2 linked regions of the Oreochromis niloticus genome follow. The protein of the gene in region 2 binds, or shares a complex with, the protein of the main gene of each other region. Links are inferred from orthologs where the notes say so. Each region holds a gene or a part of one and is shown on either strand. Other genes may lie near its edges. The genes, in order: tradd and ngfrb.

What was found.
Region 1: the proteins of ngfrb (region 2) and tradd are in contact, whole or in part, in an NMR structure (PDB 7CSQ), measured with the Homo sapiens proteins. The link is inferred for Oreochromis niloticus from reciprocal best matches to the Homo sapiens genes NGFR and TRADD. Residues at the interface, in NP_002498.1 of Homo sapiens: Glu345, Glu346, Glu348, Lys349, Leu350, Asn352, Gly353, Ser354, Ala355, Glu379, Ala380, Cys381, Arg384, Glu420; in NP_001310481.1 of Homo sapiens: Thr201, Phe202, Asn211, Ala275, Glu276, Arg278, Arg279, Thr281, Gln283, Arg284, Glu287.

Annotation. Positions count from the first base shown.
Region 1 is NC_031965.2:22,599,226-22,609,064, forward strand, and holds the start of tradd (tumor necrosis factor receptor type 1-associated DEATH domain protein), read left to right. Parts: upstream 1-5,132; 5' UTR 5,133-5,260; intron 5,261-5,310; exon of another isoform or gene 5,311-5,390; intron 5,391-9,839. Other genes in the region: prolyl 3-hydroxylase OGFOD1, read left to right, coding at 1-25, 346-425, 505-746, 835-963, 1,041-1,099, 1,180-1,341. UniProt on the Homo sapiens protein: Adapter molecule for TNFRSF1A/TNFR1 that specifically associates with the cytoplasmic domain of activated TNFRSF1A/TNFR1 mediating its interaction with FADD.
Region 2 is NC_031973.2:15,873,422-15,883,319, reverse strand, and holds the start of ngfrb (nerve growth factor receptor b), read right to left. Parts: upstream 3,984-9,898; 5' UTR 3,626-3,983; coding exon 3,572-3,625; intron 1-3,571. UniProt on the Homo sapiens protein: Low affinity receptor which can bind to NGF, BDNF, NTF3, and NTF4. Forms a heterodimeric receptor with SORCS2 that binds the precursor forms of NGF, BDNF and NTF3 with high affinity, and has much lower affinity for mature NGF and BDNF.

The sequences.
Region 1 (9,839 bases), on a different chromosome or scaffold from region 2:
AATTCAGCTCAAAGGATTTCTCAAGGTAACTTATAAAAACTCTTTTCCACCGACGCAGCGCTGCAGCTTTTTTTCAGAACGGTTTCCGGACATTGCACCATAGAAATGTAGTTCCCAAAGCTGGAAATGCTTACTCACAGATGATTTGCAGATGAAGCACGCATGATTTTTTTTTCCACACTGAAAGTACCTCGGCTTTAGCTGCACAACACTGAGTAATGAGACAATTTCCAAGTATCCATTGTGCTCTGCTTTTCAAAAAGGCATCAGAGCAGAGCTGGCACTGGTGTCGTGTCTTTCCTGTGTTCATTTGTTTCCGCTGAGTGATTATGCGTTTGTCTTCAGGAGGAGAAGTTCAAAGAGGTGAGTGAAGCACTTCGGCTCTCTCAGATTGAGTGGAAGAAGAGAGGTCCACCCAATAAGAGGTGAGTATGTTTGACTCTTTAAAGTAGCACTCTGTATTTAATTTTTTTTTGTATTTGTTAATAACCTGTGTGCTTTCAGGTGCTATGAAGCAGCTGCTCTGGACTCGCTGCCTCAGTGTGTGAGTGCATGCTGGGAGCTGCTTCATTCAGAAGCATTCTTCCTGCTCCTCTCCAACTTCACTGGCCTTCGATTGCACTATCTCTGCCCGGCTGACGACGAAGAGGATGACGATGAAGAGAAGGTTAAAAAGCAGCAAGATGATGGAGAAGCCACGGGGTCGTCAAATGAACCGTCCTCAGCAGATGCGAGCAGAGAGAAAGGTGTGCGTCGCTGTGAGTGCTTTCATTCAGCCGCAGCCGCTGCCGCTGCCGCTGCTGTTCGTGTGTTTTGACCTCTGTGTATTTTCAGAGCCGAGCACCCCTTTGTGCTGTGGGGAAGTACGCCGATGGTCTCGCGGTGGCTACACCCTGTTGCACGATGGAGAGGCCGCGCGGGCAGAATACGCGCTGGACCTCGTTTTGCCTTTCGGCTGCACAGGTGAGTTCACACCCAGCGGAAGAACGAACTGTCGGACACCAGTGTGACTGTACTGAACTTTTAATTCTCTCTCGTAGGCTGGCAGTCAGAGTTTGGCGGCTTCACGTGTTATGTGGCTAATGAAGAGGATGAGGAGGTGAGTGCTGATTAATTTGACGTGTAATCGCACATGTGCGGATGTTGCTTCAACAGTCATCATCACTGCTTTCTTCACAGCTTCTGACCGTCTACCCGGAGGACAATTCACTCGCACTCGTCTACAGAGACAAAGAGACCCTCAAGTTCGTCAAACACGTCAACCACAAAAGCACCTCCGAGCCTGATGGCAGCTCCACCTGCAGAGAGTTTTATGACTTTTCTTTTGTCTACTATGAATAAATATGTATATAATTACTTAAGTGTGTGCGTGTGGGGGGGTGCATTTACACTGGGAGATGAACTCCACTCACTCCACTCATTATTGCAATAGGACAGTGGGGAGAAGACAGAAAAGCTGGGAAAAAGACACGCACAAAACAACCTTGGTGTAGATTTTAACGCAGGCCTCTGTAATAGTCTTATGGTATAGGGGCCACCTTAAAAAGTTGCCTATATTATTCGCTAAAGTTGCAGAAATCTGGAAAAAAAAATGAAAATGGCTCTCCTTGCTATATTCAAAACCACTCACCAGCATAGCGTGTGCACCTGCGCTGCATTCAGGCCTAACAAAACTTGACAAAATCTTTTTTTTTTTTTTTAACAGAAAAGCCATATTTATGATGGCGCTACTGTGTCTGAAAAGTAATCCCAACTTCTGTCTTAAACCTGCATTCTTTCTAATGGTCAGCAGGGGGCGACTCCTCTGCTTCCAAGAAGACTTCAGGTTGTATTCACTTTTATGAGAAAAAGGCCCTCGGCCCCCCCTCACTCTGTGACCTCAGTAAACACTTTTATGGGTTCAGTTGCTATTTTCAGGTCATACAGTATGAAACATGAAGTTCATCTTGTGAATGGTCATTATTATAGTTATAAAGGAGCATAATCCAGGGTATGCTTGCCAGCTAGCAACCTGCTTAATCACAAGTTGTTTGTGATTGTGCAGTAACCCTCATTTTGACAGTTAATTCCACCATGTGCTCGTTTCAAAAATGGTTCAAAAATAGCAAGACGGCGACTGCGAAAATGCTCATCTTGAGGCTTCAGGGCAGGAATTCACAAAACCAACAGATGGCATCAGAGTGCCTTTATCAATCTTTTATACTGTTTATGTATCCATGCTGTTATATCTGTCAAGCACGCGGGAGCTGATTCATCTTATCCTTCCTTTTAAGCAGTGGACATCCAACATTTAGGCGTGTTACCTTCACCTTTACTGGCTAGAGTAAATGTACAAGAATCCAAATTGTAAATTTCCTGACAGAGAATCTGTGGGGGCTGTTCACTTTTGTGTGTTACCTTTTTAATATGGTAGGGTTTAAATAGATTTCTGACACATGCAAAAAAAATGCGATAAAACATTTATGAAAGCTCGTTGCCCAGCGTTGTACATTGCTTGGGTAAAACATTTTAAAACATTACAAAAAATAAACTTTTCACAATGTTTCTAGATTAACTGTGTTGATTATCTGGTCTTATCTGATCTTATTATCTGTGGTCTGCCTGTGCCTGGAAGAGGAGTACCACTCTGGTTCCTTAGAACTTGCTAAAAGAGTTATTTTAGATTTATTTTATTTTTTACTCTAATGATGCCAAACAGAAGAACAAGTTGCAGTTCTGTGTAAAAGCCACCATTTATTTACAACACAGGAAATCATTCCTGTACAACTCCTCCATTTAATACACAGTACACACTGCAATAGTTACACCCTTTTGCACATTCTCTACAGTAAAATAACAAATGACAAAGTTTCACAGGTTAGAGTTAAATGTCAATCATATATATATTTCACCTCTGTAATATTCTTGATATTTATAATTGAGTGATTTGTATATATTCGTGCTATTTCTTAAATTTGTAAACTTTGTAATATATTGTATTATTTAATTAGTTTAGTCTGTTACTGTTATTGTCTTGGAGCAACTGTAACCCGCATCATTTCCTTAGGGTTTAATAAAGTATTCTGATTCTGATGATCATTTCTTTAACTAGCCTTCAGGAATAGTTCTCCAGGATTCTTGGAGGACTTTCAAAGCCATTTTGTTTGATTCTCTGTCAACATGATCCCACACTGCTTCAATAAGATTGAGGTCTGGGCTCTGGGAAAGCCAGTCCATTGCTGATAATGCTTTTTATCTAAGTATGCTCTTATTGCATCAGCAGTATGTTTGGGATCATTGTCAAGATGCTGCCAATCAGATGCTTTCGAGATGATTTTGCATGGTGGATCAAAATGTGCTGGAACTTTTCTGCATTCATATTTCCACCAATTTTAACAAGATCTCCTGCACCACTGGCTAAAATACAGTCCCAACCACGACAGAGCCTCTGCCAACCATTGTTCTAACTCATTTCTGATCTTCTCCATACATATTGACGACCATTTGAATAAAAACAATTGAAATTTGGATTGATCTCCTCAAGACCTGTTGTTGCTGATTTTAAGTATTTATCCTCCACTTGCTCAGTTTCCCCAGATTTTATTTTAAGCTCAGTGTTAAGTGTCGTAACAAAACAAAAAACAGACAAAAAAGACCTTCAAAAAGCCCAGAGAACTGTTCCTCAAGACCACTAAAAAATACAAGAAAGTATGACTCCTTGAGGTCTTGAAGGCCTTCTACCCCTTTGCTTGCCACAATGTTTGCTGCAAGGCTCAGTTTGGGGGCCTTGATTGTTTTTGTTATACCTGCTCTCTCTTCAGCACATTTTGAATGCTTTTAAGGACATTCCTTATCACTGTTATGCAGATGACATTCTGTTATATACCTCTTAAGCCCCAATGTGTTTCTAAGTTACAGAGATTGCATAGGTGCGTAGACTCTTTCAGAATTTTGATGACTGACAAGTTTCTCCAACTTATTGAAGAAAAACATAAATCCTTGTTTGTGCCCCTGGCAGATTTGTGTCTAAGATATTGGAAACTATGCCACATTTATTAAATCTTTTATTAGGAACCGTGGGGTAACTTTTGATGCAGCTTTCACTTTAGATGTCCACATTAAATCTCTGGTTCGCTCTTCAATAGTGTCATGCTCTAAGTTGGAAATTAATATTCATGCATTTATATCATTGCATCTGAATGATAGGAATTCCTTGTTCTGTTGGCTTAACAAAGCTTCTGTGTTCGCCACTGCAAAAGTGTTTTAAGTACCGACACGTCACACTGTTACTAATTTAGTTACATGTTGAGTGTTTCATGGACAAACATTAGTGTAGATCAGTAAACTTTTACATCCATACATCTTCAGCAGGTTCTAGACATCATGTGATCAGGGTGAGGACTAAAGGAGACAGAGTTTTTGCCACAGTGGTGCTCTGAGATCCTCCAGACTCTGTGGTTTTCATTAAAAAGTAGTTTAAAAACTCACTTTTTTAGACTTGCTGTAACTTGGTAACCTTTATTTTTGGTTGTCTTTATGTTTTGATCGTTTTGTTGTTATATTTATCTTAAAACAACATTTTTCTTACTATACAAAATATAATGAGCTGTTGGCTCAAGACTTTTGCACAGGACTATATACATTCAGATTTAGTTGTGTTAGGCTAAAAGTCCCCCCAAAACAAATATATTTAAACCAAATAAAACTTAAAAGCTGAAGCCAGCAGATATATTTGTTCATAAATGACATAAAAGTTACATTTGATTAATGTTTTTGATTAGATTTCTTAGATCAGTTTCACCTGTGTCTAAATTTCCGGGAAACCTTTGCACCCCTGCACCGTTTTTGTCTGTCAGTGGGACTATGCAAATATGCCTAGTGCATTGTTTTGGTTTTCCCCAGCAGCTGTTTAAATCTGTTAACACACAAAAACCCAGCGACCACAGTGAGAAATTAGACTCGTCAAAGAGCCAGTAAAGTGTTTCAGTTCTTTAATGTTTGAGCGTTTTGGTTCAGGTTCAAATTTATGATTAAATGCTAGATACAACTGTTCGTAACGGGATTCGTTGAACTACATGTAAACTGAACGTTTACGTTAAAAAGAAAAAAAACCACACACACACAAAAAAACACTTCCTTCCCGTCACGATTTTCCTCGTTGATTTCCACCAATCAGAACGCAGCTTGGTTGCTGCTCACCCAATGGGAAGCCAGGAAGCTCATACTGTCTGTGTGATTCCACAGAAGGAAGCGTTACCAAACACTTTAACAAAGTTTTAAGGTAAGTTTGAGCCGAGCTTATCAAAGTGTTACTTCACGGTGAATCAAAGGACCTCCTAGGCAGAAACTAGGCGTGCGGGCTTCCCGAGGCTTTGGGCCGCTTCAGCGGCGTGGCTGCTCGCAGCTTTACGGTAGCTCTATCTATTCTGCGTGACATTTCTCACAGTAACCTCCATCCCTTTCAGTATAAGGCACTGACATTTTAAAACGGAATAGCTATCTTTGCGGTGTTCTGACTCAAACCAATGCAGCTGTCAAACTGTTATGAAGGTAATCAGCTAGCTCACCTGTACGTACGGGTCGCATAGCAACCACGTCCCCTAGTTTAAAGTTGGACAACAGTTATAGCTTTGACATTAAAGTTACATAGTCTATAATTTGAGTAAACTCTGGGTGTGTTTTTCTGTTGTTTCTGTAAGGCTTCATTTATGATGAGTTTATAAGCTGTAATCGAAGGTTTTGTTGTTACTTTAAGCTAGGAAACAAATGTCATAAAATATCCTCAGATAGCAACATTTGTTATTGTTTTGCTCATAGTTCAGTGGATCTCTAACTTTTTCTGGCTTGCCTGACTTTAGAAGTTAAAGCTGTAAACGTGATGTACGTATTTATTATACACTTAACGGCGACTTTATTGGATACACTTGTTCTTAACGCAAATATCTAATCAGCCAATCACATGGCCTTGTTGATGATAGAGGCGAATGGGAAGACTGCTTTGAGCTCATAGGAAATTAACAGCAACTGAAATAACCACTAGTTACAACAAAGGTATGCAGGAGAGCATCTATGAAAACATAGCACATCCAACTTGGAAGCAAATAGGCTGCAGCTGCACAAGACCATACCAGCAGCAGAATACCACAGCGAGTGCCACCCTAGCTACGATCAGGAGACCGAGGCTACAGTTCACAGTTCTACTCCAACATTCAGATGGTAGGGGCAGAATTTGACATAAAAGCATGGATCCATGGCTCAGGCTGCTGGTGTAGGAACCATTATTTTAAGTCAGCTTCATTCCGCATGTTTACCCTAGTCATCCATACTCGACCTATAGTGGAAGTGCTAGTCATATTCGATGTACAGGGGGATAAATAGCTTATTCACAATTAGCCTCCAGTTGTTAATGTAAGTTTGAGTTAGTTCAGAGGTGCTAAAGGTCGTTTTCAGAGATGAACCCCTCACACAGCGCGTTGGATGTGTCTCCCTAATCAGAATGTTCTAACTTGAAACACAAGAACCATGCTGAAGAGGGTTTTCTGATACCATGCCAGCATAAAATTGAAAAGGATCTAAGGCTAAATTGAAAAATAAATTCACAACTGTTTTGATGACATTGGAAATAATGTGATCTGATCTTCTAAGTCAAAATAAGATAAAAACAAAATCTGAATAAACTGAAAACATTTTCGTGTCCTTTATGAACAGATAGATAACAAACAGTGAAGGTGGAAAATAACAAATGAACTCTTGAAATTAGTAACTGACACAGCCGCCTTCAGCAGCCGCGCCTTTCGTCAGATGCTTTCTGTAGCAGTTTTTAGAGGCATTCGTGATGAAGAGGAGGAATTTCGGATTGTGTGACCGATTTGGTGTGTTATTAGTCATAGTGTGCTTTTTTTCCATATAATATTTTGCTGGGAATCAATTCAGAAACCTCAGATATTCCAGAGGAGTTAAATGTTTTTTCTTGCCCCTTAATTCATTACTTACAGTTTACAAACTGTTTATAAACGTGCCTGAGCAAAAATAGTCTGCAAACAAAGTTTATGGTTAACTGGAATGCTTTTGGAAGGTCTGCCAAATTAAGGTGATCAAAAACACAAGTCATTTCACTAAAAACGTCACTTCTTACAGGTCTGCATGCAAAACGTGCTCCTCTTATTCATACTGACTGTAAAGAGGCGCCTTCCCAACATGTAAGGCCTCAAGTTTTCCAAACTTCTGCTGAGGAAAATTTGCCCTCTCTAACTAGCAGCTCACCGAAGAAACAAGTCAAACTGAACTTGAAACTAAAAACACTGTAACCTCGGAAAAACCCACTTGATTTAATCACAGAAGGCTGAAGCTTCGGATGATGAATGACCACGAAGGCTCTGATTTTGCCACCCACTTCTCACAAGGTGAAACCTCTGACAGAGTCAGATCATTTTTATATCTCTGGATGGTCAGATCACACTGTTACTGTTAAAACTACTTTAAGGAAAGGATCTTTCGGATATGAGGAATCAGTATTCCTAGCTGTAGCTGTTTTCCATCAATATTCAGTTGTGTAAATAGTACATAGTACATCCTCTGGAAACTGGGCTTTTCTTTTTGACGAGCAAACCTCTGATCTTTGATACAGTGACTACAGATAAAGGTTGCATGCTTCACCACATCATTCATTTGTGTGAAAAAGTAATTACGCCCTCAGCCACAGAAGCTTGTGTTGTCCACCTTAGCAAGAATAATGAATTTTTTCCACTGGTGTTTCACATTGGGATGCGAATTTTTGACCCCTCTTCCTTCATGTCCATCAGTTGAAAGATGTTTGAGTAACAAGTGTTACCTTCACAGGAACGATAACCCTCCCTTTCCTGCCTCTGAGGTCTTCCTTTGTGGATTTGTCGGTGTGCTGAGGATTATTATCATGGGAGGTTGATTTGGGGTTTAATATGTTGTCAAAGAACACCACAGCATGTAGAATGGACATGCCAAGGATTGAACCACTGACCTTCAACTTGGTTGTTGACCACCTGAGTCAAAGATGCTCCCCCCAGGTTGACATAACCATGTAGGGATGGTCTTTTCCTGACAATAAAGACATTTTTCTGGCATGACACATGCAACAGAGTTACCTGCAGACCCTGTGATCACATTTTTCAAGTTTCTTTTAGACCCCCCCACCCCCCCCCCACCCCCCCACACAAAAAAAAAAATGAATTACTGGTCATTTTAAATCTCTTGCCAGACTTGACATCAGATGAATGAATGATATATGGCATGGCGTCACCATGTAGTTGGCATGTTTTGTTTTCCAACAGAGAGCTTTACTAAAAACGCAAGAAGTGTTGCTTAATGCTGTGTCATCATAAGGATATGATCAGTTATAGGGATGATTAAACAAATTATTAGCCCTCAGTTAGTGTCAGTTATTCTTATATTTATGTATGGATTGAAGCGAGTAGATGTTAAAAAGCTACATTTATAATTGAAAATGATCATTTGTAAACTTAGTCGGGGGAGTTACGAAATGTTTTCTGCTTATGCTTTTCAAATGTGAGGACTTTCCATTTTTACCCTTTTATGTCATCTGAATGTATCATTTGTATTTTTTTGGACTGGACAAAATGAGCCATTTTTGAATTCGTTTGATTCATGCTTCTGAATCAAATTTTTTTTGTTACCCAAACACCAAACAAGCTCTCCAGGGAATACTAGAGGTTGGCTTTTGGCAGCAAAGGATGAATTATATATTTTAAGCTCCCGATGATCACTTAATCCTCATCCAGCTGCTAAACTAATCTCACAGTATACTTCCATTGTACCAGTTGATAGGATAGCAAATAATTACATACTGCCTAAGTCGTTTCCTGTACACCTAACCGCCAAGCATACTGTGATTCAGTAAAATGCGAGGACGTGCACCTAATCCAGCTCAGAGGGTCCTCTTTGGCTGCAGAGCGCTCCAAGTCAGGATGCATAGAGACGGCACCAGCAGGTTTCAGCGGTTCATCCAGGGCACAGGAGTCAGGGGCTGGAGTGGGGGAGGGGAGGGATGAGATTAAACATGTTTTTATGTAATGAGGGTTTCAGAAGGAAGCTGGGGTAAAAAAGGTGGAGTGAGGCCAGAAACATGGTGGATGTATTTTGGCTGCCCTGGGTCCAGGCGGTTAAGTCAGCAGAGGTGATACGGTTTATTATCCCATCACTCTGAGTGAACACGATTAGAAACTGAATCTCCTGCTTCAGATAAAATGAGACGTAGAATTAATGACCACTGATCAAAAATTTAGAGCCTGAATTTGAAATGACGTACGTCTCTCACCACGTTTTTATTACCTGCTGACGGTGGAGGAACAGTGATTTACACTGGGTTCAAACCTCCTGCTGTGCTGGGGCCTTTCTGTGGAGTTTCATTTTCCCTACGTCTTCATGGGTTGCCTCTGCATGCTCCGGTTTCACCACACAGTCCAAAGACATGCGTGTTTGAGTAATAGTTGTTTTTACCCCTTAGTCGTAAAAGGCTGATGGGGTATTTTCATTATCCTGCTGAGCGAGTGGGTGGGGGACCTTTGTTGGGCGATAATGTGATAACTCGAGAACGAAGCGATGGTTGACCGTTGGTGTATCTATTAAAAATCTCAGGTGAGTTGGAATCTCATTGAAGGTGATCTCAAAGTTAGAGGTCAGTTTTGAAATTGAAAGCTTGAAATTGAAATAGGTGCATCTGCTAGGAGGCTGAGTGGTGACACTAGCTGCTGTCAGTATTTTTTAAAATTATCTGTGAGTAAGTGTGGATGTCTGTCTCCAAATGTTAGCCCTGTGATGGATCGATCCAGGGTTCACCTTGCCTCTTACCTTGAATCAGTTAAAAA
Region 2 (9,898 bases):
ACACCGCTGGCTGAAAAGGCCATCATGCTGGAATGAAGCCCCAATATTTCACAAGAAAGAGCATTAGAAAGAAAGAAAAAATAAACAGCACTCTAGAAAACGGAAATCTTTCTTACTGTCTGGCATCTGCTTAGGTTTATTTTGGAAGGGCTAAAACTAGTTTGGTCATGGGGCCAATGAGGACCCCGAAGGAAAGCGGGAAGAAAAATCAGAACAGTTGTGAGATGATTAATGGCAAAGCCTCACAAAACGGTCCACTTTCCACAGTCCCTTTTTCTGTTTTCTCTGCTTTCGTGCAATACTACGTTTTCTTTTCCTTGTCTGGCTTCAAATAAAAATAAATTGTAGAAACAAATAATTCTCTGGTTAAACTGCTTACATTTTTTGACACACGGGATCTGTAACTCGAGGTCACAAAGAGGTCCTGCTTTGTTTTTTTAAAACGGTCACATGCAAGTTTAAGATGCGAAGGCATTTATAAAGTGCCAGTACACAAAATAACACATCCTCACAAAGATAAAGCTGGTCCTTTCTACATTCTTCAAATAACAACCTGTTGAGTGCGTTATCAAAGCTGCTGACAGGTAAAGACATCTGTGTGTGCCTCTGCTCGGGCATAAATAAATGCATGACACTCAGGCTTGAGCCAGGACGTGTCTCTACATCTTACTACAACTCTTAAGACCTATGAGTGTGCATGGCCTTTGACATTATATCTAATAGCTAAATCTTTGCTTTCTTCTGCTCACCTTAATCTCTAAAGCAAACATGACAGAGTTACATAATAACAAAGCTTTATGTTTTTCTTCTCCCCATATACATGATGATTTTTAAGCTGATATGTATGAAATCAGGACTGTCTGCTGTAAGCCAGTGTATTGCTTATGAGTTATCCCATTAGTCATAGATGAAGGGTGTAAAGAAAATTGTGTCTCAGCCTTGTTAGACCACATTAAAACAATTTTTAAGGAGTTTTTTTGTTTTTACTACTAAATGTAAGTCAGATACAGCAAATATACTTAGAGAGGATGGATGTGAGTATGTTGACGGAGGTATTTTTGCGAAGGAGGTACAATCGCCTGACAGGCGTCAGGGTTCAGGTGTGTGTGGAATGTTACTGACGAGAGAAAGGAGCTCCACGAAACATCAAATGTCCCCTCGAGCACCTCCACTGAGTCAGCTGGCAGATAATGTCCATGAGTGTGTGGATGGGTGTGAGCATGTACGCTTTCCTTTGGACCTACACAAACACACACTCTCTGTTGCTCTCAACGGTGTCATGGTTCATTGACCTTCAAGTCTTTGGTATTTAATTTTACATCCTCTAAATCTTCAAGAATGTTTTCAGCCTCGTGCAGGAACTTTTTATTTGAAATGTTCCATTAAAAAAATGCCTGGTTAGTTTGATTCCTCTATTATTTTCATGAAAGTGCACAAACTCTGGGAAACAAAGACAGTTTATGTTCATCGAGTGAAGCTCCTAATTCTCCCGTGACTGTTGTAGCACCAAGTTTTCTCTGCGTGACCTGCAACACTTTCTCCATGCGATGAGTTTAAGCCTCCAAAATGTTTTACTTTGTAGCTTCCTCACAACTTCAAAGCCCTCGCTCTCTTTTCCTCACAGCTCGCAGCTCACGCTCTACCTCACGCTCACCTTTCCCATCTGCACGCGTTCATCACTCTACAGTAGCTACTTCCCCTGAGCTGCGCTCCACACACTCCCGACCAAACATTCACATTCGTGCAAACACATTAACAAACCTTACATGTGAACAAACCTGTTCCAAAAGTCAAACTGACACCTTTGAAATGACTCCAAGTTCCAGCATTTTGACAACTGCGTCTTTTTTTGTTGTTGTTGGGTTTTTTTACCCTAGCTCCAGGTGAGGGTGTGCGGCACCAAGATGTCTCAAAGACAAATAACCGAGATTAAAGTGCATCAGTAATGTCTGCTGGGCTGTGCAAACAGAAGAATTACAGGGCAACGCAATTTTCAGCATACGGCTTGAGCAATAGAAAAAAGGAAAAGGATGCAGGGCACTGAGCAAGTTGCAGCTCGACTTGCACGTTTCCTGCTTTTTGGATGGAAATTTGTGGGCTGCACTCTTCAACTTTTGTCAGCCAATTTCCCTGAAGCAAAATCAAGAAGTAAGAAGAACACACACGCACGTGCACACACGAGCACACACACAAATGAATGCACAGAAGCATCTGGACACACCACTTTCAATGCTCCAACCAATCTTACTAATGCAACAGTCAATTTTCAGTTGGAGGCACTTAACCTCTAGACCTCAGCTGTCAGCACTTGTTAAGCCATTAGAGTTCCACTAAACCAGCCTTCCAATAAACTGGGCCTAATTTTAATCCAGACGTGGACCCTAAACTGCTGTTGGCCCACTGGGTGCCGGTGACACCACAACCCCATGCGTTCGCAAACAAAGCTGAATCATCACTTCATGGAGCGAGAGGCAAAGGGAGAGAAACAGACAAGAGGCGAGCCAAGTGAGTGTGTAAGGGGGAAAGGAGGAGAGGAAAAGTGAGGGGGCTGGGAGTGGGTAGGAGGGTGGTTCAGACTCTATCAATATTACATGTGCTGAGCCAGCAGAGGATATATACCCATCAGTAGGAGCAGCTGTCACGTATCAGTGATGCAGCCGGCTCCAAAAACCAAGACCTGGACAAGCTCACGGCACAGGCTGACCGTGTCCATGTAAAGTACACTTTTGCATAGTTTTCATGAATCCTCATAAGGTGGTGGATTTTCTGTCCCTCTCCCACATATTCGTGTTTTCCCCGTCTCCCTCCCTCTATGTTTACTTCCATCTCCTGCATCTGTTTGCTTTTGCCTCTGTGTAGCTTCATCTTCCAGGCCTTCGCAGTGGTGAGAATCTGTGCATCGCCCAGTAATCGCCCTAAAGATCATGCTTAATGTTTAACTTCCTGTATGCCCATTATCACAAGTTTGCCTCACAAACTCAGTAAATCAAGGAATTCACCAAAGTTAAACCAAACCCGGGCTTTACTGGTGATCTCCTCCACAGAGCCCACTGTGACATTGTTATTGTCCTGCTGTCTGTGGAGCCACATGTAACTGAGAAGGGTGGAACTACAGATCCACAACTGAGGCTATAGAGTATCAACCTGAATGGCTCCTGCATACATCCATTCTTGCTTCACAATGTCAAGCCAGGGCTGCGGGTGGGACAGGTGCAGAGACACGAACGTGTGCTGTTTTAAGCACCACAAATACCAGTATCATCTAACATGACCGGGACTTTAAATCCCAGAGAGAAAAGTAAAGATTTTCCGAAAAGTTTTCTCTCAAAAAGTGAAGGGCGTGACAGGCTGGATGGGAAGCAAAAATATTAATAAAAAGAAAAGAAAACACGTGAAAGAAAGAAAACCTCCCCCACACACTCGCACCAGCTTTTAACCACCTTCTAATGGGACTATGTTGATGCGCAACTGGGCATGCTTTTTGCGCACGATGTGACAGGGAAAAATGTAACCAGGTGAAGTTGACGGCAAACATTTAACACCCACGATGATTATGTCAGAGAGTACTCACCGCTCCAAGCAACACTGCTACGAACACGCAATACATTCTGTGTCTTGTTTGCATCTTTCGAGGAAGGTCAGCCGTCGGATGCAGGGCAGAGTGATGCAGTCTTTAGTCTGCAGTGAACTCGGTTGTCATTATTGTGTCTTTGCAAATCTTTTGGATTCTGCTGTTAGAGTAGGAGGAATATAAATAAGAAAATGTCCGAGTAAGTGAGCTGTGTCAGGTGTGAAACCCGCAGCGGGAACTCACTAAGTCCGTGAGCCCTAGCTGCAGATGCGATCCACTCGCTGAGACTGACCCATCGGATTCACGCCTGCGTGCGCTTCTTTCCTCCTACAGCGTTTCATCTGGCAGAAGCGCTCAGCGGCTTCAGGGAAGGGCCCGTCTCCCTCTCCACGCCCACAATGTGCGCACACACACATACACACACGAACTAGCGCTCTCCTTCTCTTTTTTAAATGGTTAAATTACGTGGTAGTTGCTGTTGAGTCGAACCAACCAAGTGTTTAAAAACCAGACTGCCTCCCGTCTAAATGAGTCTCCTTTGAAAAACTTCTGAAAGGAAGACATCCATCAGACTGAAAACAGAAGTCCTCTCAGTCACACGGATGTACACCCTCTGATGTCTGCAGCAACATCCACGCTAATGATGCACAACCCAAACAACCAACCAACAAACAAACAAATAAAAAGTTAACTTTAATGAGAGTCGTCTGTCCCAGAGGTGTCAAATATAAAGCTGGGGGGCCAAAATCAGCCCAGCAAAAACTCCAATCCGGCCCAATGCACAGCCTTGGATCAAGAGGAGGGCATAAGTTTTTGGACTTTTTAACTCTATTTTCCATTTTCTACAGCTGCTGATAACGACCTGGGCATTCATTCATATTACAACAGAGTAGATAGATTAACAATTAAAAAACAGAAACTTTCCTGTTTTTTCGCTACTGTAGAAATTTCTGGGTTTTTTTTGTTTTTTGTTTACCGTCAGTGCACGGTGTATTTTTTTTAAAATGAGGCATTGTCTGTAAACTAACAAGAACTTTTTGTTTTCTAATTACAGGACAGTCTGGGCAATAAGCTACCAGAACCTTTTCTGCAATGTAACGATTGATTTCTTACAATTTATGCCAAAAGAGTCACAATGGCACATTACTGGTCCAGCCCAGATCAAAGTGGGCTGAATGCAGCCCATGATGCACAGTGAGTCTGACTCTATCACATCACATGAAAATCACTTCTTTTTTTTATGTGACTTATTTAAAACTCATGTTAAATTATTTATCATCTGGAGAGAAGTGGAATGAGAGGATTGCTCTTCTGAGAAACACTGCTGCCTTTATGCATAAGAAGAGGTGATGTACTGTTGGAGACTCCTGAGGCAAAAAAAAAAAAAAGATGGATTCAAATCGTGACAATACATGTTTAAAGCGCCGTAGCAGCAGAACAGGCTTCAGTAATGGCAGAGATGTTTATAAGTTCTGTAAGTAGATGTTTGTGCAATATCCTCACTTACTTCAAATCCCCGAAGCAAAATAAATTATATTGTAACTCTCTTTTTTAATTGGGTTCACTTGACTCAACACTTGACAAGTTAAAGGGCATTGAACTATACTTGTGACTCATCCAGTATGGTTCCCAGAATTGTAATAAAGCTCATTAGGGAGCATAATTGAGATTATTCATTTAACTCTTTAAACTCTTTCTTTTAAAATTTGTGATGTGAAACAGCTCATTAATAAATAATAAAAATTGCAATACCGGTCTCACTCATCTCCCAGTGTAGGTATTGATCACGGTAAAGGTCATATTCATCAATATTGTACTTGAACTCTTTGACTTCACAGTTGGAAATTATTATGTAATGATGATGGAATGCATGCAGATCTGTTCTTGTACTGACTTTAATATCCATGTTAAAAGTTGTTATGAAAATATAAACGTCTAATCAGAAAAATTACATGGCAGCAGCCCAAAGCATCTAAGCAAAAAGACATGGTCAGACACGACCTGCTGAAGTTAAAGCTGAGCACCAGAATGAGGAAGTAAGGTGATTTAACTGACTTTGGTTGTTGGTGCCAATCAGACTGGTCTGAATATTTCACAAACTGTTGATTTACTGGGATTTTCCCACAAAACGATCTCTAAGGTTTACAGAGGGTGGTCTGAAAAAGAAAATATATCCAGGGGATTTTTTCTTGGCACTCTTTGGACCACTTTAGCAACAGCTGAGCGTTGTTTGAACACCACAGCCGACCTAAATATTGTTGCTGATCATGTCCATCACTTTATGACCACAGTGTACGGATCATCTGATGGCTGCTTCCAGCAGGTCACCAGATCTCATTCTAATAGAGCACCTCTGGGATGTACCGGAATAAGAGTCACAGCTGACAAATCTGCAGCAACTGTGTGATGCTGACATGTTAGTATGGACAAAAATCACGGAGGAATATTTCCAGCACCTTGTTGAATCTATGCCATGACAAACATAAAAGGCAAGCCAACGCGGTAGTAGAAAGGTATAACTAATGTAGTGGCCAGAGAGCATGCCTGAGAAACTTAAACTCCTAGTTTTTGAATATGTTTAAAAATTGGGAGTGATGCTTTCACCTTACATATCAATTTGAAGTGACTGTGATTTATATAGAACAGGAGGGCAGTGGGGGACAGGAGGGGCTTGGGGGGGGTGAGGAGAGAGAGAGGAAGCTGGTTTGCTCTGAGAGATAAATAATGCATGAATGCAAAGAGAGGGAGAAGAGGGGGAGAGAGAAACAGTGAAACACACAAAGAGAAAGAAAGAAAATCTATGATGAAGGCCAAAGTATCTAGATCAAATTTACAGCATGCTCTCTGTAGTTTATGAAGACAATCAGAACTTGTTCCACCAAAAAAATCAAACACAGAAATGGTTTCTTTGTGCTAACATGAAGACCACTTATATCAGCAGCACTCAGATGAAGAATGCCTCAAACAGCCACTTTAATAGGAGATTAAATCCTTCTGCTGGCTATTTAAAGGGGGCTTAACTCATTGGTAACACATTTAATAAGGGGATTTATGAGTACTTAAGACTGACATAAATTATTAAACAGAAAATGAACAAAAATATTGAAAGACATTTTATAAAAGCTGTTGTAAAATGCTCGATGATTTCAAGGACATAGTCAACGTGGCAAAAAGATAGAAAAAAAATAGAAGCTGTGCTGAGTTCATTTATGATCATTTTAAATGTGTCGCTGTTAAATTTTTAGTTATTCTTTATGTCGCCTGTTTTGTTCTGAAAGGTTCACTTGCATCGTGGGTCCGTGTTTGTTTTATTTGCAGTCTTTCATTGATTTCTTTAGTTCTCAGCTTAGTTTCGCATGTGTTCGGTTAGTTCACAGTGTATTTATGGTCCAGCCTGTCTCTTATCATTTTGTCAGCTCTCCCTCCGTACTTCCTCTTTTCTTTACGTTAGTTTCTTTAATTTTTTCATCTCATTTTTTGGGTGTTCTGGTTCTTTTTCTGGTTTTGGACCACCAGCTGCCAGTTCTTGTACATTTGGGCCTCGTTTTGCATCCAACGAGTAATCATCCATGTTTTTTTAATACTTCTTGCCCAGTACATGTCTTTTTCATTTTTGCGGAAATGTACATCATAATGAGTTGGAGGGAACTGCAACCAGTCAAGTTAAAATTTGCATGTCTGTGTTCAGTGGCGGTCCTAGCCTGTTTGCCGCCCTGGGCGAACACTCCCTCCGGCCTGTAGCTGTCTGGTAGCAGAGATGACAATAAAGTTTACTTTGACTTCAGCAGCAAGCAGGCGCACCGAGGGCTCTCACGCTCACTTTTCGCACATAGAATTTCGAAAAAACATCGGTGCAAATTATAAGTCTGTATCATAATGTCTGGTGTTTTCGTGTTTGTTGGTTTGTTTTTATTTTGTTTTATTTTGCGGGTTGGTTATTAAATGCTGCTCCATCCAGCCAGAGAATCTGCCGCAGGCAGCAGGCACACCTCGCAAACGGAGGGCGCCCTTACTCCCAGCAAATGGGCGGCAGAAAACCGATCGGTGCCTATGCCATTCCCAATATGTGCTGGCTGATGTCGGGGCAGCATGAGTACGAGCAATTTTTATTTAGTTTTTTTGCCGATGCCCGTGATGCCGCCCCCACCACGATGCCGCCCCGGGCAACCGCCCGTGTCGCCCGTATCAAAAACCGCTACTGTCTGTGTTATTTTTGGAGCATTTTCAGGTCAAGTTCGCCAGAAGTGTAAAAAATAGAGGTTTATGAAATGTGCTTGTGTGAAAATAAGAAAAAGAAAAAGAAAAGAAAATGCCTTCAGTTTGTCACATGGACAGAGACAAAGATCTAGATTCAGATACACAACGATGCAAAGTTTTTCTGCAGGGCCGGGAACAGAATGCTTTTTTTGGAACCTGAGAAGGGACAGCAAATGTCTCCTGGACCACCCGTCCAGGACACCCGTGTGTTCTCCTCCAGCTCCCAAACACATACTAACTCACTGCACAGTCACTGTTTTTCTCCACCAGCACCACCTGAGAAGAGTACAGCACCTGTCATTCCTACATTAGCAGCAGCACCGAAGTACAAACAGGCTGGAGATGAGCTCCACAGTCTGGTTGCGAGCTTTCCTTCTAATGTACTGTAATAGCTGGAGAGGCATCATATAACGAGCCAAGCAAGCCCTCGAATTACTCTGAGAGCACTCACACCAATATGGGAGTGATATCAAGTTGTCTTTTGTGAGGAGACATTCATAGCACCGCAGTACTTCCCTGTTACATCATGCCTTTCTCTCTAAATCAACAAAACACCATCATCATGTGAAGCAAGAGTTGAGCTTGTGCAGATACTCTTAATTTCATTGTGTGCCTTCTGTGGGGATCAAATGATTAAACTTGTGTTAAAGTGGATCTTTTTAGAGCACCCAGATGGCAACAAACCCAGCTTGTTCCCACGAGACTCCCTCATCTGCACAGTATTGATCTGATCTGGGTACTCTTCTCTCTCTTGATTGTACACCCTGTCAAGCCTCTGTTCACTAGCTGCCACATCTCATAGAAAAAAAGTCAATAAACATCTCCACACCACACTCCTGGTGTAAAAGAAATAACCAAAATATACATGATTTTTTTTTTTCCTTTTTAACATTTTCAGCCTGCTTACTTCCTTCATTAGACATTCATCTGAAAACTATTATGACTAAATATGTCTTATCACGAGGTTTACCCACATTGCTACAACATCCACAGTGAATGAAGTTCATTCATTGTCAATTTTTGCACCAAAACAAGTAGGCAAGCAGGAATTCCACCTTGTCAGTGACACATTAAAGGTATACATACCTCTATGTCAAAATTTTGTCCATGCATGTGCTCTGATGGCCACAGTTCAGTCTGGCACAATGTCTGTGCATTTACATTTGTGTAAAACGTGTTTGCTCATCCCCATTAATAAGAGCATTATTCGCTTCCCTGCTGATGCACTGAAGAGAGCAGGCGATGTGGGGACTTTTGGGGGGTTGAATTGGCCTTTGTATTGATCGGGTTTGCACAGAGCTGAGCCTCGGGCTGATGACTGTCAGTGCAGTCCATTATGCATTCAGATATGAACTGAATGATGTGCTCATAGATGCAAAAGTAAACCTGCTCTCTACAGACATCAAAGTTTTTAAAAAAAAACAAAACAAAACGCTTTCAGAGCCTTTTTGGATAAGGATCACAAAATATTTCACAACAACAGTCACAAGTAATAAACATAAAATTAAAACATAGTAATATCTACTGGTTAAAAGCAATCTGTAAGAGTAAGTCTTGAGCTGCTGTACATACTATAAGCAAAGGTATTAGACAACAGGGGCAGTTACAGTGTCACACTATTCCTAAAAGTGATGCAACAGCACAAGTACGACTTGAATTTAACCTGAAACATAAAAACAGCCTTTTTATGCAGCTGGTAAAGGGTTCTGCAACCACATGCATGTTCTGCATTCCCGTACCAGACCTCACACTATTCACAGCTCCGTATGTCGGCTGTTCCTCCTTATCTGGCTCGTCACACAGATGGCAAACACCAAAAATAGAGGTGGTTTTAGGTTAAATCAGATTATGGCTGGATTATAACAACGCTAGTTAAAGTTTAGAGTTAGTATGTCTGCATGATTGAAGAACAGACGTGCTATAAATTATAATAACATACCTTCAGTTCAGATTAGAGACTAACTGCCTTTTTATTTTAACTTTTAAGGGAAGCCATCCTGAACTCGTCTGTGAGCTTGTAAAGCAAAGACTAAAATCAGCAAGCAAGAGCTCTCTGAGCTCTCTGACTGT